3 linked regions of the Arabidopsis thaliana genome follow. The protein of the gene in region 1 interacts with the protein of each later gene in a biochemical or structural test. Each region holds a gene or a part of one and is shown in the gene's direction. Other genes may lie near its edges.

Region 1 (9,484 bases):
TCTTGAACATCAAAAATAACAATGTGAGTTGCTTTTTGTGGTTTATCATGTCTCTTGATCATCAAAAATGACAATGTGAGTTGCATCTTGTGGTTTCTGACATCTGTGTAAGGGTCTATTATTGAAGTAAACTCAAATCTTTGCTTGGTTTGGATTTTGTTGAGCTACTCATTTGAGCCACTGCATTGTTGTTATAGGTGTACCTAGAAAGTGGATACTATCTTCACGGTTACTGGGGGATTCTTGTGGACAGATATGAAGAAATGATAGAAAACTACCACCCGGGTCTAGGAGATCACAGATGGCCATTGGTGACTCACTTTGTCGGTTGCAAACCGTGTGGGAAATTTGGTGATTACCCGGTGGAACGGTGTCTAAAACAAATGGACAGAGCCTTTAACTTTGGAGATAACCAGATTCTGCAAATCTATGGTTTCACTCACAAATCTTTGGCTAGTCGTAAAGTCAAGAGAGTGCGGAACGAGACTAGCAATCCGTTGGAGATGAAAGACGAGCTCGGGTTGCTTCATCCGGCGTTTAAGGCGGTTAAGGTACAAACCAATCAAGTTTGAATCGGTTTTGCGTTTAGGATTTGTGTTATGTTTCTCGCTATATTTATGTCTTGTGTCTTTGCTTGTTGTTGTACTAAGATGGATGATAAAGTATTGTGCAGAGACATCAGTTAATTCTTTGGTTTTACTTTGTCTCTACGTCTAGAGTTCTATTACGAAATCAAAATGTTGTTTTTCTTCCTTTTTGTTCTTTGTAATCCATTAGAACTTGAGATTTTGTAGCTTCATGGATCAATAATCTGTGTTAATTCAAGAACTTTTTTTTAACCTGATTTCACATTCAACTAATTATTTACTTTTAGTATGCAAAATGTGAAAAAATCACATTGAGTTAGTATAGTTCTGAGATCATATTCACAAGTTTTGTGTAGTTTAGGAGTTTAATTCGAAAAACAAAATTTGGCATGTGGTCAGATTCTTTTGCAGTATGGGTTGTTGTATCTGAAATCTGAATGTCTTTAATTGATAATAAAATCATGTATACGGGCTATTATTAGGGGGAGGCCTTATAAAAGCCCATCTGAAAACTAAAATCACGGCCTAATATATGGAATCCGTGTTATACAAAAATCCAAGATAATTCGTAGATAATGGTGAGAAAATCGTTTGTGGCCAAGCAATTTCGGGTAGGGAGGATCAACAAAGATACAAAAAAGATTTCTTTCTTCTTTATAAAACCCAAATCTCAAAATGTTATCTCGTTTTTTATTTTAAATGTTTTATTTTATTTTGTTGTTGTGTGGTTTTTTTGGTTTTTAGTAAAGAGAAGATATAACAAAACCCTAATTCTCATGAGTTCAAAAACCCTAGATTTAGTGAGCCCATCAAAACATTTTCCATTGGGGAAGATTTTAACATTTGGAGAATTGTGCATAATAAAAACAAAATATTAAACAGTAAATACTTTCCAAAAAGTGACTAAAATATTCTAAATTTACTCAACAAAAATTGAAAATTCTTGACAAAAAAATTACTGTTTTTTAAAATGATACAATGTTTTTCAAATTTTAACCACAAATGATTATTGTACTTCTTCCTCAAATAAAAAAAGAAACTCTATATATTTTGGCTTGAGCCAATGAAGCGACACAGTTTAAAGCGTAGCACAAAAGAGAGCCCTCTTGGAAACTTCACCAACATAGAAGCGAGGGTAATTCGGTAATTTCATCATCATCCTCAAAACACAAACTGAGAAGATAAAATCCCAAGGCAAAGAAGAAAAACGAAGAGTCATTTTTTGTTCGCCGAGTGACCTTATCTCTCCCAATTCTCTCTTCTTCAAAAGAGAGAGAGCAGCCAAATTCTCAATCATAAAAACCTTCACACAAAAAAGGGTAAATTCCTTTAAACCCTATCTATCTATCGCTATCTCCTTCCTCCACAAGTTTGGCGGAGAAAGAGTCTCAGTAGCAAAGCGGAAATGGACTCAAAGTCGGTTACTCCAGAACCAACCAACCCCTTCTACGCTTCTTCGGGGCAATCAGGTTTTTCTTCTTTCTCGTTTATATCTTCTTTAATCTGCGTTTTTGGGAATAGGGTTTTAATCGGAAGGATATTTTGTTATCAGGAAAAACCTATGCTTCTGTTGTCGCCGCCGCTGCTGCTGCAGCCGCCGATAAGGAGGATGGTGGTGCTGTGAGTAGTGCCAAGGAGTTGGATTCCTCATCGGAGGCTGTGTCTGGTAATTCGGATAAGGTTGGAGCTGATGATTTATCTGACTCCGAGAAGGAGAAGCCGAATTTGGTGGGTGATGGGAAGGTTTCCGACGAGGTGGATGGTTCTTTAAAGGAGGATTCTACTACTCCTGAGGCTACTCCGAAGCCTGAGGTGGTTTCTGGTGAGACAATTGGTGTAGATGATGTTTCATCGTTATCTCCGAAGCCGGAGGCTGTTTCTGATGGTGTAGGGGTTGTGGAGGAGAATAAGAAGGTTAAGGAGGACGTGGAGGATATTAAAGACGATGGTGAGAGTAAGATTGAAAATGGGAGTGTTGATGTTGATGTGAAACAGGCTTCCACAGATGGGGAGAGTGAGAGTAAAGTGAAGGATGTGGAAGAAGAAGATGTTGGAACAAAAAAAGATGATGAGGGGGAGAGTGAGTTGGGTGGAAAAGTTGATGTTGACGATAAAAGTGATAATGTTATTGAAGAAGAGGGTGTGGAGTTAACTGATAAAGGAGACGTCATTGTGAACTCGTCCCCTGTAGAATCAGTGCATGTTGATGTGGCAAAACCAGGGGTGGTTGTTGTAGGAGACGCAGAGGGAAGTGAGGAGTTGAAGATTAATGCTGATGCTGAAACTCTTGAAGTGGCTAATAAGTTTGATCAAATTGGGGATGATGATAGTGGTGAATTTGAACCTGTGTCTGACAAGGCCATTGAGGAGGTAGAAGAAAAATTTACTAGCGAATCAGACTCTATTGCAGACTCCTCTAAGTTAGAATCTGTGGATACCAGTGCTGTAGAGCCAGAGGTTGTAGCTGCCGAGAGTGGGAGTGAACCAAAGGATGTGGAAAAAGCCAACGGATTGGAGAAGGGTATGACTTATGCTGAAGTAATCAAGGCAGCTAGTGCAGTAGCTGACAATGGAACCAAAGAGGAGGAGAGTGTGCTCGGTGGCATAGTCGATGATGCAGAAGAAGGTGTTAAGTTAAACAACAAAGGAGACTTTGTGGTGGACTCATCTGCTATTGAAGCTGTGAATGTAGATGTGGCAAAGCCAGGGGTTGTTGTTGTTGGAGACGTAGAGGTGAGTGAGGTGCTGGAAACTGATGGCAACATCCCTGATGTGCATAATAAGTTTGATCCAATTGGCCAAGGTGAAGGTGGTGAAGTTGAACTTGAATCCGATAAAGCCACAGAGGAGGGAGGAGGAAAGTTGGTTAGTGAAGGAGACTCTATGGTTGACTCCTCTGTGGTGGACTCTGTTGATGCTGATATCAATGTTGCAGAGCCAGGGGTTGTGGTTGTCGGGGCGGCTAAGGAGGCTGTAATTAAGGAAGATGATAAAGATGATGAGGTTGACAAGACCATCTCAAATATTGAGGAACCTGATGACCTGACTGCTGCATATGATGGAAATTTTGAATTGGCTGTTAAGGAAATATCAGAGGCTGCCAAAGTAGAGCCAGACGAACCAAAAGTAGGTGTGGAAGTAGAAGAATTGCCTGTTTCTGAAAGTTTAAAAGTGGGTTCAGTTGATGCAGAAGAGGATTCAATTCCTGCAGCTGAGTCACAGTTTGAGGTTCGGAAAGTTGTCGAAGGGGACAGTGCTGAAGAGGATGAAAACAAGCTCCCAGTCGAAGACATTGTTTCTTCTCGTGAGTTTAGCTTTGGAGGCAAGGAAGTGGACCAGGAACCTTCTGGCGAAGGTGTTACCAGGGTTGATGGGTCTGAAAGTGAAGAAGAAACTGAAGAGATGATATTTGGGAGTTCTGAAGCTGCAAAACAGTTCTTAGCAGAGTTGGAAAAGGCTTCTTCTGGTATAGAGGCACATTCTGATGAAGCAAACATTTCTAACAATATGTCAGATAGGATTGATGGCCAGATTGTCACCGATTCTGACGAGGATGTAGACACAGAGGATGAAGGTGAGGAGAAAATGTTTGATACTGCAGCTTTGGCTGCGCTTTTGAAGGCAGCCACTGGTGGTGGAAGTTCAGAAGGTGGCAATTTTACCATAACATCTCAGGATGGCACGAAGCTTTTCTCTATGGATCGACCTGCTGGTTTGAGTTCATCGTTAAGGCCCTTGAAGCCTGCAGCAGCTCCACGTGCAAACCGTTCCAACATCTTTTCCAATTCTAATGTCACAATGGCAGATGAGACTGAGATTAACTTGAGCGAGGAAGAGAAACAGAAATTAGAAAAGTTGCAAAGCCTCCGTGTGAAGTTTTTGCGGCTTTTGCAAAGGTTGGGTCATTCGGCAGAAGATTCAATTGCAGCGCAGGTTCTTTACCGTCTTGCACTACTTGCTGGGAGACAAGCAGGGCAGTTATTCAGTCTTGATGCTGCAAAGAAGAAGGCTGTGGAGTCTGAGGCTGAGGGCAACGAAGAATTGATCTTCTCCCTAAACATACTGGTCCTTGGAAAAGCCGGGGTGGGAAAAAGTGCTACTATAAATTCCATTTTGGGAAACCAGATTGCGTCCATTGATGCTTTTGGGCTCTCAACCACTTCGGTTAGAGAAATTTCTGGAACGGTGAATGGTGTCAAGATTACCTTTATTGATACTCCGGGTTTGAAGTCTGCTGCGATGGATCAAAGTACAAATGCAAAAATGTTGTCCTCTGTAAAGAAGGTAATGAAGAAGTGTCCCCCTGATATTGTACTATATGTAGATCGTCTTGACACCCAGACCAGGGACTTGAACAATTTGCCCTTGCTAAGGACGATTACTGCTTCTCTTGGTACATCCATATGGAAAAACGCTATAGTGACATTGACCCATGCGGCTTCTGCCCCTCCTGATGGCCCATCTGGCACCCCATTGAGCTATGATGTGTTTGTAGCGCAGTGCTCACATATTGTGCAACAGTCTATAGGACAGGCTGTTGGAGATCTACGCTTGATGAATCCAAGTCTGATGAATCCAGTTTCACTTGTTGAGAATCACCCCTTGTGTAGGAAGAACCGGGAGGGAGTGAAGGTTCTCCCGAATGGCCAAACTTGGAGATCTCAGCTGTTGCTATTGTGTTACTCCCTGAAGGTTTTGTCAGAAACAAATTCTCTATTGAGGCCTCAAGAACCATTGGACCATCGTAAAGTATTTGGTTTCCGAGTTAGATCCCCGCCTCTCCCTTACTTGTTGTCTTGGCTGTTGCAGTCCCGTGCACATCCTAAGCTCCCTGGAGACCAAGGTGGTGATAGTGTTGACTCTGATATCGAAATTGATGATGTGTCTGATTCTGAGCAGGAAGATGGGGAAGATGATGAGTATGACCAGCTGCCACCATTTAAGCCTCTTCGAAAAACCCAACTTGCAAAGCTCTCAAATGAACAGAGAAAGGCATATTTCGAGGAGTATGATTACCGTGTAAAGCTCCTGCAGAAGAAGCAATGGAGAGAGGAATTAAAGAGGATGAAAGAAATGAAGAAAAACGGGAAGAAGCTGGGTGAAAGTGAGTTTGGTTATCCGGGAGAAGAAGATGATCCAGAAAACGGGGCTCCAGCTGCAGTGCCAGTTCCATTACCCGATATGGTTTTGCCACCTTCATTTGATAGTGATAACTCAGCTTACCGATACCGATATCTGGAACCCACTTCACAACTCCTAACCAGGCCAGTGTTGGATACCCATGGTTGGGACCATGACTGTGGATATGACGGCGTCAATGCAGAACACAGTCTTGCTCTAGCTAGCCGGTTCCCTGCCACAGCTACTGTCCAAGTCACCAAGGACAAGAAAGAGTTCAACATTCATCTGGACTCCTCTGTGTCTGCTAAGCACGGGGAGAATGGATCCACCATGGCAGGGTTCGATATTCAGAATGTAGGCAAGCAGCTGGCATATGTGGTCAGAGGAGAAACCAAATTCAAGAATTTGAGGAAGAACAAGACAACTGTTGGAGGGTCAGTGACATTCTTGGGAGAGAACATCGCCACTGGGGTCAAACTCGAGGACCAAATAGCACTGGGGAAAAGGTTGGTGCTTGTGGGCAGCACTGGGACAATGCGATCACAGGGAGATTCGGCCTATGGTGCGAACCTCGAGGTCAGGCTTAGGGAAGCTGATTTCCCAATTGGACAGGACCAATCTTCTTTTGGGCTGTCTCTGGTAAAGTGGAGAGGCGATTTAGCCCTTGGAGCCAATCTCCAATCTCAAGTCTCTGTTGGAAGGAACTCAAAGATTGCGCTTCGTGCAGGACTTAACAACAAGATGAGCGGACAGATCACAGTCAGAACCAGCAGCTCGGATCAGTTGCAAATCGCTCTCACAGCCATTCTTCCAATTGCCATGTCCATCTACAAGAGCATTCGACCCGAAGCGACGAACGACAAGTACAGCATGTACTAAATATGCTGATGAATGCTGCAGAATGATCTTTTCTTTTATTACTGGTTTTTAGTTCATGTTTTTCCCCCACTTTAATAAAAACTTTGTTGAAGTTTATCAAAGTTGTATTTTGGTTCTGTTGAGAGGTTCCCATCGGATTTAATTTATCATGTATCAGTAATTCTTCACTTTCATTAGCCCTTCTCAGCTTCTCTTGCTGTTCTTCAGATAATGGAATCTAGTTCAGTCTTCTTTTGGTCTACGTCTCATGCTAATGATGTTGCTTGGTTTGAGTTTGCTAATTTGTTACTAAATTTCTGCAGAAGATACAAATCACTCGGTGAAGAATCTTTAAAGCAGGTGCGTAGCCTGTAACTGTTGATAAGATTTTGTACTAGAACCCTCATCTCATTGTGTTCTTCACCAGGATCTTACTGTTCTTCCTTGGTCCCTTGAAGGCAATGGTATGTTTTTTATAAAAATGCTTTGTAATAGATTTTCATTCTTATATAATATCTGGAAACTATTGGAGTATCGTGGTGAAGTAAACTTGATGATACTAGCAGACAAAACTCCGAATAAAGGATATTTCTTGGTGGACTTAATCTTTATGGTTTATGTGAATATTTGATGTAGCAAAGCCTCTAACTTAAAGGATGACCAGAGTCTGCAAATATATGGCTGGCTTTACTCGCAATTCTTTGGGTAGCCACAAAGTCATCAGAGTAATGAGACGAGCAAACAGTTGGAGATAAACACTAGGTGGACTTTCTTCACCCTGCGTTTACGGCGGTCAAGGTACAAAATTGATGGTGAAAAACACAAACTTGCTGCTCTAACCGTTTCTGTTATTTATAGAGAGGTGAATAGGTCCAGAAATCTGATGTGTTTTGTTTTGTCTGATTTGAAGCTTACGTCTATATTTTACTTGTCATTTTCAGACATGACAAAGCAAGGAAACTTTAAGGATAAGAACGTTCAAAGTCTTCTTAAGTCAACTTCTTTCGCCAGGAGAAACGTTCCAAAGTAAGATTTCCACCAGACTAAAGTCCTTACATACTATTCTCACTAGTCAGTATCTCCATAGTTAAGACATCGCAATCTTTGCATTAGTTAACTAATTGATTTATTTTAGAATAGCTTGAAGATTAGATAAATAGTTTTTGCCAAAGATACTCTCAAGAGCATACACACACACTCACATAACTGAAAGAAAACAGAGGATACAACAGAAAGAAAGTACTGAGAAATTGGGCAATGAGAAAGCCGCTTATTTAATCTTAGCATTATTACTGTGACTGAAGCAAAACCATATTTTCCTTTTAGAAATTTCTCACTGAACCTTCTCGGAAGCTGGCCTCTTGGTGATTTCAGCCACCCACTCATTGACACGTGGACGCTCGGTGAAGAGCTTCTTGGTGGGAGTTCCGAGCAGGTATTGAATCGCGGGAATGTGGTGAAGATCAGTCAAAGTGAAAGTTTCACCAGCCAAATACTTGAACTCCTTGAGCCTAGCCTCGTAGACATCAAGGACCTTGGCTAACTTAGCCTCCTCTTCTGCAACAACGGCTTCGTCTGTGGTCAAGCCGTAGATGGACTTGAATATTTGTTCAAAAGCAAGCTTTGAAGCCACTGGGTCGAACTGGTGATCTTCTACTTGCATTCCAATGGCCATGATTGCGTACTGAGATATGTTCTTGGAGTCGGTTTGGAGAAGGTTGGTTCCTTGGTTTTCATATCGGTGAGCTATGTACTGAGTAATCGCTCTTGATTCTACACAAAATAAAAATAAAAAAATCCAATTCTTATTAGTGATTTTGCTCTCTAATGGCTTTTGTCAACTCAGAGTTGAGATTGAAGATGATGCATGGAAAAGGTTCATACCGAAGAGCTTGAGGTCTCCATCTTCAAAGGCTGGAACCTGACCAAAAGGCTGAAGAGGAAAGAAGTTCAAACACAAAACATTTGAGATGCAGGCCAGATACATGAAAACAGTTGGTCTCTTGTCTTACAACAACACATAGATATATAGATATACTTACGTTGCGGGAGAGGAAAGGCTCCTTCTTGTGCTCACCGTCTTTGAGTTCGACATGAACGAGCTCAAAGTCGAGGTTTTTCTCGTGGAGGGCGATGAGGACTCTCCTGGTGGCAATGGAAGCTGGGTGTCCGAAAACTTTGATACCTGCCATTGATTTGGGTTACTAAGAAACTCTTTGAAGACTGAGAAAAAAGAGAGAAAAGAGGAAGAAATGTGATGTTTGATGTTGAAGGTGAAGGTGATGAAATAAGACACAAGTAATGAAGGTATTTATACAGAAGCATTTCTACTTTCTCATTAATGTTTAATATTATCTAACAGATAATAATGCCTCTACAAGGCCATCGCAACCAATATTGACTAGTCTTCTTCTTCTGGGAGGATTTTTCAAAGCTGAATTGGACTGTTTAACGTTTAAATATTTGCTTTTACATTGGTTATGTAATGGTTTTTAATAAAGTATTCAATGTATCAGAGAAAAGATCATAACTAGTGCGTAGTAATAGGCCAAATGACTCAAACTTCCACCTACTAGCTTCATCTAGTAGCTTTCCCCCTTCTTGGTTATGACTGGTTCGGTTTTGTTTCGGGGATTTTGTGATGCTCTATATCTGTATGCCTTCTCAAGTTAAAAGGGTTTCTCTTAATGTGAGATTCAATAGAACAAAGGTTTACTGATCAGATCTTTTTGAATTAGTTTCAGATAAATAACCAAAGAAGTTTTGGTATGGTTTCTTGGTTCCTTTTGGTGTGGTGGAATTCGATGGAAAAATCAACCTTGTTGATATTGATGCATAGTAAGTATGAACAAAATGTATAAAGGTAAATAATAACCAAAGAAGTTAAGAAAGTGAATGATGATTATTCAAAGGATTAT
Region 2 (7,522 bases), on another chromosome or scaffold:
TAAACAAAAAAAAGTAAAATGGATTCGGCTTTTTGTTATTTTTCTTTTGACTCTCCCCTTTAATTAGTTTCCTATGACTTCAAGTTTCCGTCTCCTACTAGATTAAGGTAATGTATGTGGAAAGGGTTTTTATAAAGTATGAATTTTGGACTCTGTATAAAAATGGAATTCCTGTGATTTTAAAATGAAATTAGAGTTATGTACATGCGCATTGATGGTGTATTTCCCTATTAGCCCTAAGAACGATCGTTCGTTAATTATACAATTAATCATTTATTGTTGAAGAGACAGAAACAACATCCAAGAGAGAGTCCAAAGGACGGATCCATTACAAAGACATGTGCAAGAGATTTTCTTAGTCTCGTACTCCTTTCGGTCGGTTTCTCCAACAAATGGGCCTTGGCAACAGGTAAAATAATACTATTGGGTCTGTTTTGTAAAATCTTACGTTTTCTGAAATGGAGGATGTTGATACCTTTACAATGGGCCTAAGGTCCCATAAATTGGGCTTTAAAGGGCCTCTTTTTGATACTTCCTTTTTTCATTTTATGTCTTGATGTTCGAAATCTTCTATGTAAACAAATTTTTTTTGGTTTTAATGTCAAGAGAATATGTGTGTGTGAACAATTTATAATGACCATGTTACATTTTCGTCTCGTATGTTTAAAATTCTTGTTTTTATTTGAAGTTTTCACATAATTATTTGAGGGAAATATTAAATGATCTTTTTGCAACTCTAATAAAACGTTAGTAAGTGGCATGCTAAATATATAAATGATAATACACCAAGAAAATTGAAAGTGAGCTAAATATATCATTCCTAACAAATAGTTGATAAATTCTCAAGTTGATATATTGTACTAGATATTAGTCATAAATAGAACCTAACTATGAACCAATAATAGGTCTACAAATGTGGGGCCAGAGACAAGAGAAGAAGTCACGACTTTGAATCTTGATGATCATGGATGAATGGATATCATGCATGAAAAAATTAAAATTTCTATGATATGGAAAAACGACAATAATGGACGAAATCTTTGTACGTCAAAATCGGAGACTTAGATCGTTAGATGCATGCAACTAATTAACAACTCCAATAACTTCAATTGAAAATGTGCGTATACTCACTCTCATGAACGGTCTTCTCGTATTGTTAATTCACTGTAATCCTTTTGCGTTTTGATACGCAACTTCGGAATGGGCAACGGTATAGCGAGGCTTACGTATGCTTTGGAAAAACATTAATTCATATATTAATGTTTTATATTCCGTGAGAAAATTTCAATGTTTTGGAAAATTAGAACAAATTAGAACAAATTCTCGAAAGATAAATTGAAGGCATTATGATATTTTCGTACGTTCTTTTTACGGAAAGTTCTTTAACGGCATCCAAAACGCTTTCGTACGTGGCCGAGTGCTCGCGGCGCAATAATCCTTGAGAATCATAAGGTATATTCCCTGGAATGTACCTTTTTTGTTTTTCTTATAAAAAAACTATCTGGTGCATTTTGTTTTTATGGAGTAATTTATCCAATTAAAGTCCAGTGTGGGACACTAAACATTACAAATTTTATGTCTTTAGCTTAGTTATCATCTGTTTTTTTTTAATTAGAAAAGAGTAGTTTTCTGGTGTGAGTGTTATGTGGAAGACAAATATGTGACGTGGATTCTAATAATGTATTGTCGTGATGTGGTTCTTTTTGCATTATTTCGTTTTGATTATGTAATAGACATATATTTAAATGGTGCGATTATGCACCGAAGAAAAACATTCGTCTCCATTTTTCTTTATACGAAATTTGACCCCAAAAAAAAGGTAAAACACGGCGTCCGTGTTATTATGTAGTATCATGTATGACAGAAATGGCAACTACAGTAGATAGTTTGGACCGAATTTTATTTTCACACAATTAAATAGTTATTTCAAGGCAGTAACAAATTGGTGGAAAAAAAAAAAAAAAAGGCAGTAACAAATATTAAAACCGAATATTGGCTAAAATTATACATTTCAAAACAATATTATGAAATTGTTTAACAAAACAAAATGTGAAAGGAACATAGAAGTAATTAATGTACTCAGATTACGATCCCATAGAACTTAAATAAAGGTGCGTTTATGAATGCCAGATGACTCAGATTAGTGATTGTTCTTCCCACTTAGCAGAGTAATTGCTCTTTGTCCTTTGGAATCTCTCTCTCTCTTTTTATTTCTCTGTGTTTCGCTTGGAATCTATATTTTCGCTATTTCCTGGAATGATGATATATATGTATGTTAGTATGTAGTAGTCAATATTTTTGTATATTGTGAATAAGTGACTTTTTCAAGGTAAATATAGGTCAGAAACTTCAAATTCAAAATATTAAATATTATAATATTGGTGAAAATATATAGTCAAAAAATGATTTTAGGTTCGGTTGATAATTTATTCAATGAGAGTGATTTACCCGAATAAGATGATTGTGTGTGAGCAAAAAGATTCCACAATGATGCCAATTTAAGCTTCAACAAGTGCTTTCCTATTAACAAGAACAATTTATGTAATATCATTTTTTTCGTTTGTTTTGCAAAACTGCAAAGTCATTTTATTTTGTTTACTTTAATAATCCTTGAAAATGTTATAACAGTTATTTCCTCAAATTAGACCATCATACTATTATTATTGTTATTATCAACCGTTGATAAAAATGGTAGTAGCATGTACAACTAAGATAGACCGTTACAAAATTCGTGTATTGTTAATTATTATATAGTTTCCGTATGTTGCTGTTTTCAGCTCAACTTGAGTAAATATAAAATATTAAACTGTTTATTCTAATATTGGATTCTTTTGTGTAGTGGCAACTTATTTTTTTCTAAGCTTTTTTTTTTTACAGATTACGGATTTCAGTATGAAATTGTAGATCCAATCAACTATTTTCACATATGCTAAAAGGTATCTAAAAAGTAAAAACACTTAACAGATTATAAACAAAAAAGCTTTTAAGATAAATGTCACAAATTCTTTAAAAATAAACAAATAAACAGCTATTGACAAACAAAAAATAAAAATAAAAAAGGAGTCCTTGCTGGGTCCATCTCCTTTGCGTTCTTTTTCGTCTGTTGAATTTTGAACAGAGTCACAAGTCTCTCTCCATATAAACCTCCCCAAGGTCGACGCTACGTAACGACCATCTCCATTACTCGACTCTCCTCACCTAAAGATTCAACCTTTTCTCTGTTTCCCAATTCAGAGATGAAGCTTGTGGAGAAGACGACTACTACAGAGCAGGACAATGGAGAAGATTTCTGCCGCACCATCATCGAGGTTTCCGAGGTTAACAGAAACGTGTTTCAGGCTCCGGGCGGTGAAGCTGATCCCTTTCGAGTTGTCTCCGGCGAAGAACTTCACCTAATTCCGCCGCTCAACTTCTCCATGGTCGATAACGGTATATTCCGGTCTGGATTCCCTGATTCAGCTAACTTCTCCTTTCTCCAGACTCTCGGTCTCCGCTCAATCATGTAAAAGCTCCTTCCACATTCATGACATTTTGTATACTATATATCAAACTTTCGAAATTGCTGATTTTAGGTTTTTTCGAATTTGTGAAGATACTTGTGCCCGGAGCCCTACCCAGAGAGCAATCTCCAGTTCCTTAAATCCAATGGAATCAGGCTTTTCCAGTTTGGTATTGAAGGCAACAAGGTAACCATCTTTCTTCTCCTCTCTCTTCATCAAGTCTCCGTTTTTAATTGCTCTGTAATTCTAAACCTTACTTGGATAGTTCACTAGGAGAATTCTCTGAATGGAAAAATCATATCTTGCTGCAGTGTGTTCCTGACTTAGACAACGAGATTTCCTTGCATTTATGGAATTCTAAGCATCAGAAACAGGGTCCCTTAACTAATGGACTTTCGAAAACTTTGGTACACACTACATATATTAACTGGAACACGATACTATTTCTGGAATATATCATAGTTCATTCAATTTGAAGGGTTTTATTTGCTTGATATTTATTGCCTAATTGTTCTTGAAAATCCTGTCTCATTGTTGTTTACTTTAGACTACTAAAACTGTTTCTGTGTTTTCTTTCTCTTGAATTTGATCCTTCATGGGCACTCTGTTCCAAGCCATATTTTATTATTATGAGTTTACCAGAAAAAGAACACATCTTTCTTTATTGTTTTGCCTCTTTGGCTCTTTCCGTCTCTCTTGACCTCCACTGATTTGGTCCCACTCTTTGTTTTTCTGCCCCTTCAGCAACTATTCCCCACTTGTTCTTTCTACTCTCTATTTATAAAATTAGATTATGGACTACGTCAAAATATTTGCTGAGCTACTTGTTGCTAGTGTTGTCAATGATCCCACTACTCAATAGCTTACTTTCTGTTGTTATTGTTTTCTTGGTTCATGTTTATTGAGTGTGCACTTTTTTATACAGATATGATATCTTATGAAATCATACATCAGCGAAAGTGTTTTTGATTGTGTACAAGTAAACCGTTTTTTATGGTAAAAACTTGTAGAAAGCGTGTTGATCGTGAAAGTGTCCATATTAGCTGTAAGGTTTGAAATCTAGATAAGGTTAGGAATTGCTGGGAAAATGATAGATGGTTACGTTGTAAGTCGGTTAATGTTGTTTAATACGTACCTTTAGTTCCTTTCCTTTTCTATGTGTTAGTGGCTCATGTTTGGGCAAATCGTTGGTAAAGTGATAGAATAACCAAAAACTTCACCATAGAGTCTTGAACTTATTACCCTCATGAGTTACCATTCGCCTTTCCTGAAGAGATGGGTATGAATCTAATTTGAGTTGATATGTTTGAAAGAAAATATGTTTGTTCTGGTATGCAGTAGCTATCATTCTCTCCCCCCACAGAATCCACCTTTTCCCTGTCGATTCTACTCCTAGGATAGTCGATTCTTTATGTGGGGAGTCGTTTAGATACTTACTACCATAGTTCCCTAGTTTTGCTTTTACACTAAAGATGAAAATAAAGTGGCTTTCTCTTCTTGGTGTAGTGATTTTATTGGAAGAATCTGGATCTCATTGACTTTTGTTTTTGTTTCTGGACTCAGATTCTTTATAATTAGTGTGACAACTTCGATCTTGATAGGAAACCTTTATCGCTGATATTCTTGGCTTGCTATGCTTTTTTCTTCTCATAGATTCGTCTTTCAATGGGACTTTGTGTTTATTCCGTGTTGTTGTTGTTGTGTGTGGAGATAACTTTTTGATATAAAAAAGTAAAGAATCTTTCTCTCAGTACGCAACCAGTAAAAGGTATCACATTAGACATGCTTCATAACTTGTAGACTTTGTCCTGTTAATGAACCTTTGCATGGTTGTCTCTCTCGACGTTGCTTGTGCATGAACCTTGATTATTAGATTGCTTTATCTTTTCCTAATCTGCTCAATTTAGTAGTGTGATTGATCTTTTGACATATAATCTTACAATTTTAAAAAGACATTTTTTCTTCTTATTTTCAGGAGCCATTTGTGAATATTCCAGACCATAAAATCCGCATGGCACTGAAAGTGCTTCTAGGTAACTATGAATCATATAGAAGCGCTGAAATAAAAGAACACATGTAACCACACTTTTTGTATGCTTTCTAATTCTAACTTGGTTTATTAACAACTCTCCTTTTAAAATCCTCAGATGAGAAAAACCATCCTGTTCTGATTCATTGTAAGCGAGGCAAGGTAAATCATTCACTCCAATCCTAAACATTTCATCTTTTGTCTCCACCACTGAAGAAGAAAATGAGTTTCTAAGTATGAATCTGGAATTTGCAGCATCGGACCGGTTGTCTTGTTGGTTGCTTGAGGAAGCTCCAGAAATGGTGTTTGACATCGATATTCGACGAGTACCAACGATTTGCAGCAGCGAAAGCTAGAGTTTCAGATCAAAGATTCATGGAGATATTCGATGTTTCCAGCTTCAGTCATATTCCAATGTCATTCTCTTGTTCCATCAGGTAAACAGGGGAAGCTAAAATCTTCAGATAAAAAGGAGAGATTAATCATATTAGAGTTCCAGAGGAAACATTCTTCTCTTTCTTTACCTTTCTCTGGAATCAATAATACTATTTCGAGAAAAGAAAAGGTTTTCGTTGTTATAATGACTTCACTCTGTTTTTTTACTGCTCAGTGTAAGCATAAAGGTAGATAATTACGTATATATATAAAGTAAACTATACAGGAGTTTGTTTAGGAATATATGTATTTTCTTGGGTTATCCCGAATGTTGCTTAACGATTATTAGCTCATATATTTCAATTCTTCAGAACATGATTTGTTATTATCGTGTGTAGAGGAAAATGCTACTACCATCAGTGTGTAAATAATTTGTTCAATGTAATGCTAAACCGAAATATATGGACTAATTTGATTTACTGACCAATCATTAACATAACTCTATAACTTCTTTTTTGAATCAGTTACGGAATTAATCATTATTTTTATTAGTTGAAAAAGACATGCTAGATGTGTGAAGAGTTTGTTAAGTCACGAATATGAAACCTAACTAAGGCCAGTACCAATTTTTAGCTATAAGTGAGTGATAGTTGTCCTTATAGGTCACGAATACGAAACACTCTACTGGAGTGTTGTTAATCATTTACTTTAATAAAAAGCATGACACCGATTCTTCAACAACATGCAAAGCGCATTCTTGCTTGCGGCTACAAGAGTTCTTTGTTCCGTTCCTATGCAACCTTATGGTCACCCGAGGCTAGCCAAACTCTGCTTATTCGGGTCAAAGCGTCTTTGCAGCAACATGAGAAACAATTGTACACCAGAGGGCTCATAAGAATCTTCGAGATTCGGATCGATTTTCTCAAAAACGCGAGTTTTTTTTATTTCTTCTAAATCCTGATCTTCAACCTATGTACCAATTTGTGGTTTCTTACATATTATGTGCTCTTGGTTGTGGTATTATTAGGCATCAAGATATATGGGTAAAGAAAAGGTGTGTACTCTGTTTCAGAAAGATTATGCAGCTCGGCTTTATCTGATTGAGACACTGTTGGGTTTAGAAGAAGCAGACAAGTTCTTCAAAAGTATCCCTTCAAACATGATTGATTACTCCACGCTCTTAACCTCTTACGCGAGATCTGACGATGTGAAACCCGACAATGTCACTGCAAACACTGTTTTGAAGGCCGATGTAAAGGCGATAAAGATGTTTATGAGAATGTGGGTTGATGAAGAAGGAATCAAACTGGAGAGAGACAGGATAGTTGAAATGGCAAAGGTTTACGTTAGAGTTTGTTTAGAGATATATGGTAACGTGGTATGGAATGCAAGAGAGTTGCTGCAAACTCTTTGGGATGACTTTAAGAAGTGCGAAGAGGTGTATCGAACAGCGGTTATCTCTTTGTCGAAACTGGATGATGTTGAAGGTGCAGAGGATATATATGGAGAGGGGGAAAAAAAAGAACAGAACGTAAGGGAACAGGTTACCAAAAAGGCAATGATGCTGTTACATGTTTTGAATCTGCTCTTGATCTTGATCACTTTGAGCCTTCCTTTT
Region 3 (7,217 bases), on another chromosome or scaffold:
TCTACAAGCAAGTAGTCTTCCTCTGAAATTGTCGAGAATCTGGCTTCAGGGTTCCTAGCTATCTGCTTTCCATAGAACACACTTATATTTGGTAAGTGGCTCAGAAAAACTTTTAAATTAAAAAGGTGCTTTAAGCTCCAAAGTTGACCTTAAGAAGCTCAGGATCATTCCATGGGCCTTTGTCAGATCGCAAACAGCCACCTTTGTCTGCACAAGTACAAAGGCCGCCAAAGAAATATGGCAACTCGCTAAAACAAAAAACGAGATTACGATGATTTTTGTATAAAATTAGTTATAATACAAAGCAAGATATATCATTGAGTTAAGGACTAGAATCTTACCTAGCGTCTATGGCTTCGAGCAATTTGGGTTGGTATTTGTTCCCAAGAACATGAATCTTTGATGTCGTTTTTGGATCGAGGAACTTTTTAATTGGAGCCCACAAGAGCCGGAATCCAGGACCAGCATTGATGATGAACATTCTGTTCAAAGTCTATGAAGAATAATTTATTTACAACGTTGTTACTTGTTACTATACCTACGAGTAATAAGCTTTTTGAGGTTAAACTACCTCAGGGTAATTGTCATTATCGATCTTGAGAAGGCGCTGAAGCAGCTCTCTCGCGGATTTGTTGAAGTTCTTAAGCCCCTAGTAATTGAAAAATGACACATCGTTTTAAACATTTTTTCATATTTATACATTTTCGAAAGAAGAATTGAGGTAGAAAAATGTGACAAACCACTCCTTGGACATCAAAAATGGTTGTGCTTTGGTCAATGTGCTTCTTGGCTGCGGCAGAGCAAGAAGGGAACTTGATCTTAAACATCTTCTCGAACTCTTTCACATGGTATTTCTCATACCGGTCCATTGTAGTCGCTTGTAACAGCTTGTTTGCATCGATTTGACCTAATCTCTCAATGTAAACCGGCCTGCCTTCTTTGTCCACTCCATGGTAACCTTGCGGATAATGTTTGAGTACTTGATCGATCTCTTCAAACTCGAAATCCTTCATTATTAAAAAAATTATAAACCAAACAAATCACTCGTCAAAGATTGTGTATATATAAATGATCAGTCTAAGATGTTCCAAGATTCTTGGACAAAAAGTTAACCTCAATGATTGTATCGACTCCGAAATCCATCCTCCATTGAAGCATGTCACTCCACATTTGCTTTGCTTTCTCTTTGTCAAATTTTCTCGCCCTTAAGAATCTATGTAGAGATTAAACATAATAAATCATAATATTACAATCGCAATAATCATCTACAACAAGTAACATTTAGCTGTAAACTCATCATGAATTATGGATTTATATGAAAGTGTAAAACATTTATTGATTCGCTTGTAAGAGATGAACAATTTTTTTTTTTAAGATATGAAGATTTAATGAAATGTTATAATGTTAAGACAACCAAATTTTTGGTCATCTATTAAACCAGCTCCTCATCAAATAAAATATTCGTTTGGATTGGTATAATTTTTCCATTAGTTGACTTCATGATATTTTATTTCATACCACAACACATCATTTGACCTAGTAGGGATCTTAAAGAAAAATATAAAAACCTGAGCATCATGTGAAGATCATCGTGTTTGGGGGGCAAAAGGTCGTCAAGGACGAGGACTTGACGGAACGCTTCCACGGACAGATAATCGTCCCCGTTGATGTCGTCTGTATTGGCTACGGACACAATTTTGCTGCTGGTCCTCCGAGTCTTCTTCTTGAAAGAGTTCTTGAATCTATTTGATGCGCTTATCGCTTTCTGTTTAAGCGAGCTCATCTTCACTAGCTTCCTTCCATCCTCTGAATTCTCCATATCTAAACCACACATGATTGGTTTACATTAACATTTTAGGCAAGAGGAAAAATTGTATCAATGGCTAGTTAAGGTAAATGCATTGACTTATAACCTTGTTTGGTGTCAGCCATGGTTTAGACTTTTGATGAAACACCTAAAAGATGATTAAGATTGTTTAAGAAATAAGATTGAGGAAAAGAGAAGCAAAACCAGTGTTTTTTTTTCCTTACCTTATTGGAGATGAGTTCTTGAGAGGAAGGAAGGGTGAAAGATGGTAATGGTGAGGATCATCTGAAACTAATTAAGACATGTAGAAAAGTACTTGAATGTCATTTTAACAAGCTATTGATAAGGTCCAAAGGTGGTTTTGTTCTTTTTTTTGTTTTTTACAATTGGTTTGTTCTTAATATATGGAAATGGACATGTGTGTGATATAATATTGAAATATATCAAAATCGATTCGTATCTGTACCAATAAATGCTATAATTAATAGAAAAGAGTATGACGCCAATTTGGACTAAGTGCAGCCCACCACTTTACAGATGAAAACATAGTTTACATGACCAAATTATCATCTTAATCACTTTACAGATGAAAACATATTTTACATGACCAAATTATCATCATAAGAAAACATATTACACAATGGTTTTACATGACGAAATTATCATCAGTTCGGTTTGGATCGATTTCTTTTGATTCTGGATAATTAGTTTAAAAGATTGAGGATCAATGGTTTTACATGACCAAATTATCATCAGTTCGGTTTGGATCGGTTTCTTTTGATTCTGGATAATTAGTTCAAAAGATTGAAGATCTATTTAGGTATTTTAGAATTTTGGTTTATATTATGTTCGGTGCCTTTTCGGTTCGTGTCAATTTAGATTTGAACTAGACTTCCCAATTTAACTAAATTTTAATATAATAACCAAATATTTCGATTTTAAAATTAATAACCGAATTAACCAAAAACTACACCGATAATTTAATCGGTTATTTTTTGTAAAAATTTCAGTTTCTGAAATACTTGAGAAACCAAACTTACCTATCCCGAAAAAGCGGAATACCCCATAATCACATGCCTAGTCTGTAATTTCTCTCCGAAAACTTGTCATTTACTTAAATCATTCAAAAATCTACTATTATTTTGAAAAGAGGGAATAGTAACATATAAATATGAGAAAGTCCATATTAATTAGTAAGTTCAACATACATAATTAAAGAAATCTATGTTCAAAACAAAAAAGATTGAAATAACTATTGGTCTATCTAAAACCATGGTTCGCACTTCGCAGTAGTGGATAGTGTCCGGATAGTGGTCTTACCTTTAAAACCCGACCCTTACTTTCGATCTTCTATTTTAGTTTGATAGAGACACGTCCGTCTACTTTAAGCGTTTTACGAATCGGCGTTTCCCTCTTTTCTCCCCCGCTTATCTTCTCTTCCTGTCCTTTTCAACTCCGTGACTAAAAAAAAAAAAAAAGTAACCTTTACCTACTTTTCTTCTGGGTTTTCGATAATCTCTTTTGGGTATTTGCAAACCCCTCAAAGATTCTTCCTTTCTCCTTTAAATCGGTCAGTACTGATCTCTTCTCCATACCCTTTTGCTATTTGTTTCAAATTTCGATTCTTTGATTGTTTTGGATAGTTTAATTCATATGAATCTGACTCTTGTGTTTGATTTTCACAGTCTCTGCTTTGGCTTTGTACTAGCCATCGCAATTCATCATCATCTATTGCAAGTATCTCCAAGGTTTTGATTTCCACAATGGCAACAACTACTCTCAATGACAGTGTCACCACTACACTTGCTTCAGAGCCTCAAAGGACTTACCAAGTTGTTGTTGCTGCAACTAAAGAAATGGGTATTGGTAAAGATGGGAAATTGCCATGGAATTTGCCAACAGATCTCAAGTTCTTTAAAGACATTACTTTGACCACTTCAGATTCCTCTAAGAAAAATGCTGTTGTGATGGGTAGAAAGACTTGGGAGTCTATTCCCATTAAGTATAGGCCGCTTTCGGGTCGGCTTAACGTTGTTCTAACTCGTTCTGGTGGGTTTGATATAGCCAACACTGAGAATGTTGTCACTTGTAGTAGTGTAGATTCTGCTCTTGATTTGTTAGCTGCGCCGCCGTATTGTTTATCTATTGAGAGGGTTTTTGTTATAGGAGGTGGTGACATATTGAGGTAATGGTTGTTGATTTTCATTTATTATCCCTTTTGGTGATTCGGAATCTTGTTGTTGGTTGGAACTAAGTGTTGGTTGGTTGTATTTGTGTAGGGAAGCATTGAATAGGCCTAGTTGTGATGCTATCCATTTAACTGAGATTGATACAAGTGTTGACTGTGATACGTTTATACCTGCGATTGATACTTCTGTTTATCAGCCTTGGTCTTCATCGTTTCCAGTAACTGAAAATGGACTTCGGTTTTGCTTCACGACTTTTGTCCGTGTAAAGAGTTCTGCTGATGAATCTTCTGATGAAAGCAATGGGTCACAGTCTCTTCAATTTGATGGGAAGAAGTTTTTGTTTCTTCCTAAGATGGTTTTTGATCAGCATGAGGAGTTTCTGTATTTGAATATGGTTGAAGATATTATCTCTAATGGCAATGTGAAGAATGATAGGACCGGGACTGGTACATTATCAAAATTTGGTTGCCAGGTGATATAAATCCGTTTCTTTATGTATTCTGTTTATCTCTAGTTGGTTAAATGATCTCACATTTCCTTGGAACACAGATGAAATTCAATTTACGCAGAAGTTTTCCACTTCTGACAACAAAGGTATGCTCACTTTTTCCTTAACTTTCCACGTTTACTCGCAAAAGGAGAATGCTTTGTCTTCTGTTGTATTTAGTGGCAGTTGCATATCTACACTAGCTCATATTCAAACTCACGCAATCTGTTTGCTTTTTTTTGGTAGCGAGTTTTCTGGAGAGGTGTTGTTGAGGAACTTCTATGGTTCATAAGCGGTTCAACCAATGCAAAAGTAAATTAAGCCAGAGTGTCTCTGCTATGCTCTAAAACTATGCAAATGAATTGGTTATATCTATGATAGACTTTATACATGGGCAGGTCCTTCAGGAAAAAGGTATCCATATATGGGATGGGAATGCGTCAAGAGAGTATCTCGATGGGTAATATTTGTAACCTGCATTATCTTTTTGGTTAAAGAAATATTGATCTTGACGACCTATTTGCTGATTTATCCACCGTATTTTCAGTATCGGCCTGACAGAGAGAGAGGAAGGCGACCTTGGACCTGTATACGGATTTCAATGGCGACACTTTGGTGCTAAGTCAGTAACTTTTCAATGCATATGTTGGTTTTTTCTTCTCTGTTCCGATGGATTTGTTTTGGTGAAACATCTTTCTCTTGTTTTACAGGTACACAGATATGCATGCTGATTATACTGGTCAAGGATTTGATCAACTTGTAGATGTAATTGACAAAATCAAGAACAATCCTGATGATCGGCGTATTATAATGTCAGCTTGGAATCCTTCTGATCTTAAGCTGATGGCACTTCCTCCATGCCATATGTTTGCACAAGTAATGCCACTTTATCTTCTAATTCTGTTGTTTCTCCTACAATGAGTTTGATTACTTTTTTTTTTTTTTTGCAGTTTTATGTGGCAGAAGGGGAACTCTCATGTCAAATGTATCAGCGTTCAGCAGATATGGGCCTTGGTGTGCCGTTTAACATTGCTTCTTACTCTCTTCTTACTTGCATGCTGGCTCATGTGTGTGATCTTGTTCCTGGTGATTTTATCCATGTTCTTGGGGATGCTCATGTATACAAAACTCACGTGAGGCCTCTGCAAGAGCAACTTCTGAATCTTCCAAAACCCTTTCCTGTAAGTATATCGCCGACAATGATCATCGAGGAATGCATATTCACCTATCCTTACCGTGTTTTTGTTTGTCGTCATGGGCTCACTACTGCAGGTAATGAAGATAAACCCGGAGAAGAAACAAATCGATTCTTTTGTGGCTTCTGACTTTGACCTCACAGGCTATGATCCTCACAAGAAGATAGAAATGAAAATGGCGGTTTAGTTCTCATCTCTTACTATAGGATATGACCAAAAGGAGACTACCGACAAATTGATTGTGTAAAATTTATGATTGAATCAGATGAATGACCATCAATGTATGGACTCATATTACCCTTTTGTGGGTGATAACTTGTCATAAACATGTGTTGGAATCCTCTAGTTCCACATGGTTCTAGAGCGATTTAGGATTTTATACTTCTTTTATATATTGTTTCCTATTTCAACTATCGAATGAGAACTTTGATGATTTTGGCCAATTTATGTTCTTTTTGGTTTTAAGTTTGTCTACAAGATACATAAATAATCTTTCTAATATACTATAACTGTTGTGGTGTTATAATTGGTATACAACTATAACTGTAATTTCATATGCTTGTGTTTAAAGTAATTGATTGATGACACAAACAAAAGGTGTGGATAATGCAGAGTAACTACACTATACACTTGTGGCCTTATGTCGGCAATTGACGAATACTACACAATATTAGACCTGCGAGCTCGGTTAACCAACTGGTTAACCGGACCAAGCCAGTTACTTCTCGGTTTTTTCGTAGAAACTAGGGCTGAACATATGGGTAACCCGTTCGGGGTTGGGTTAAATGGGTAATAGATTTACTATCCAATAAGGGAAAATGAAATTTTCGGTTCCAATCCGGTTCGGGTACATTCGGATTCGGGTTGATTTGGGTAATCAATTTGAGAACCGGTAAATACCCGAAAAAATTGGTTAACAATTATCCATTACAGCGAAAAATACCCGAGTTTCAAATGATTTGTGACAAATCACAAGAAAAAACAGAGTGAAAAAATGAACATTAACATCCAAATTCCAAACCTAAATAGCAAACTGCAAACAACAATACAAATATGACAAATAGAAGTTCTCAAACAAGAGTAATTGAAGAGTAAACCGCAAGCAACAATCCGAAAATGAAAAACATAAAACTCGAAGTTTAAAACATACCAAACCGGATATCCATAAACCCATAAACCCGAATCGATTTGGTATGTTTTTGGTTTTAGAAAAAAGGTCAACCGCTCGGTTAGGGGAACTGAACTAACTGAACATGATTCAAAATTCTGCCAAATTGAACAGATTGCTAAACCAATTTCGAACCGAAAACTGAAAACTCTCTTTGTTCCGGACAAAAACCGAAGGCCTTTTATATGTGTCTGAAAGAAAAGTTTCTTTTGATAATAAATGAGGGTTATTAGAATATGTCTCACATCGAGACTTTGATAAATTGTGGAGCAATATATAAGTAGTAAACCTCCACTCATTGAGCTAGCTTTTGGGTGTGAGTTAGGCCCATACTAATATGGTATCAGAGCCCAAGGTTTCAATTTGTCTC

The links.
Region 2: the proteins of TOC159 (region 1) and PFA-DSP1 form a complex in vitro, tested with the Arabidopsis thaliana proteins (one study listed by BioGRID).
Region 3: the proteins of TOC159 (region 1) and THY-1 interact in a test that uses a peptide from one of them, tested with the Arabidopsis thaliana proteins (one study listed by BioGRID).

Annotation. Positions count from the first base shown.
Region 1 is NC_003075.7:1,102,774-1,112,257, forward strand, and holds TOC159 (translocon at the outer envelope membrane of chloroplasts 159), read left to right. Parts: upstream 1-1,792; 5' UTR 1,793-1,992; coding exon 1,993-2,056; intron 2,057-2,139; coding exon 2,140-6,587; 3' UTR 6,588-6,926; exon of another isoform or gene 6,927-6,993; 3' UTR 6,994-7,030; exon of another isoform or gene 7,031-7,202; 3' UTR 7,203-7,364; intron 7,365-7,507; 3' UTR 7,508-7,592; exon of another isoform or gene 7,593-7,892; 3' UTR 7,893-7,899; coding exon of another isoform or gene 7,900-8,339; intron 8,340-8,412; 3' UTR 8,413-8,450; coding exon of another isoform or gene 8,451-8,499; 3' UTR 8,500-8,608; coding exon of another isoform or gene 8,609-8,758; 3' UTR 8,759-9,011; downstream 9,012-9,484. Other genes in the region: XT2 (UDP-xylosyltransferase 2), read left to right, coding at 198-572; GSTF2 (glutathione S-transferase PHI 2), read right to left, coding at 7,900-8,339, 8,451-8,499, 8,609-8,758. UniProt on the Arabidopsis thaliana protein: GTPase involved in protein precursor import into chloroplasts. Seems to recognize chloroplast-destined precursor proteins and regulate their presentation to the translocation channel through GTP hydrolysis. Required for chloroplast biogenesis.
Region 2 is NC_003070.9:1,422,424-1,429,945, forward strand, and holds PFA-DSP1 (Phosphotyrosine protein phosphatases superfamily protein), read left to right. Parts: upstream 1-3,115; 5' UTR 3,116-3,236; coding exon 3,237-3,502; intron 3,503-3,592; coding exon 3,593-3,686; intron 3,687-3,811; coding exon 3,812-3,907; coding exon of another isoform or gene 3,908-3,976; exon of another isoform or gene 3,977-5,475; coding exon 5,476-5,533; intron 5,534-5,647; coding exon 5,648-5,691; intron 5,692-5,784; coding exon 5,785-5,970; 3' UTR 5,971-6,446; downstream 6,447-7,522. Other genes in the region: AT1G05005 (PPR containing protein), read left to right, coding at 6,625-6,838, 6,990-7,447. UniProt on the Arabidopsis thaliana protein: Cleaves the beta-phosphate at the 5-position of soluble inositol pyrophosphates.
Region 3 is NC_003071.7:7,080,687-7,087,903, reverse strand, and holds THY-1 (thymidylate synthase 1), read left to right. Parts: upstream 1-3,038; 5' UTR 3,039-3,377; intron 3,378-3,408; exon of another isoform or gene 3,409-3,492; 5' UTR 3,493-3,570; coding exon 3,571-3,992; intron 3,993-4,086; coding exon 4,087-4,468; intron 4,469-4,545; coding exon 4,546-4,590; intron 4,591-4,729; coding exon 4,730-4,795; intron 4,796-4,881; coding exon 4,882-4,943; intron 4,944-5,030; coding exon 5,031-5,105; intron 5,106-5,193; coding exon 5,194-5,359; coding exon of another isoform or gene 5,360-5,404; exon of another isoform or gene 5,405-5,433; coding exon 5,434-5,664; intron 5,665-5,755; coding exon 5,756-5,866; 3' UTR 5,867-6,141; downstream 6,142-7,217. Other genes in the region: AT2G16380 (Sec14p-like phosphatidylinositol transfer family protein), read right to left, coding at 1-62, 149-248, 342-493, 572-649, 741-1,007, 1,114-1,213, 1,569-1,821, 1,914-1,932. UniProt on the Arabidopsis thaliana protein: Bifunctional enzyme. Involved in de novo dTMP biosynthesis. Key enzyme in folate metabolism.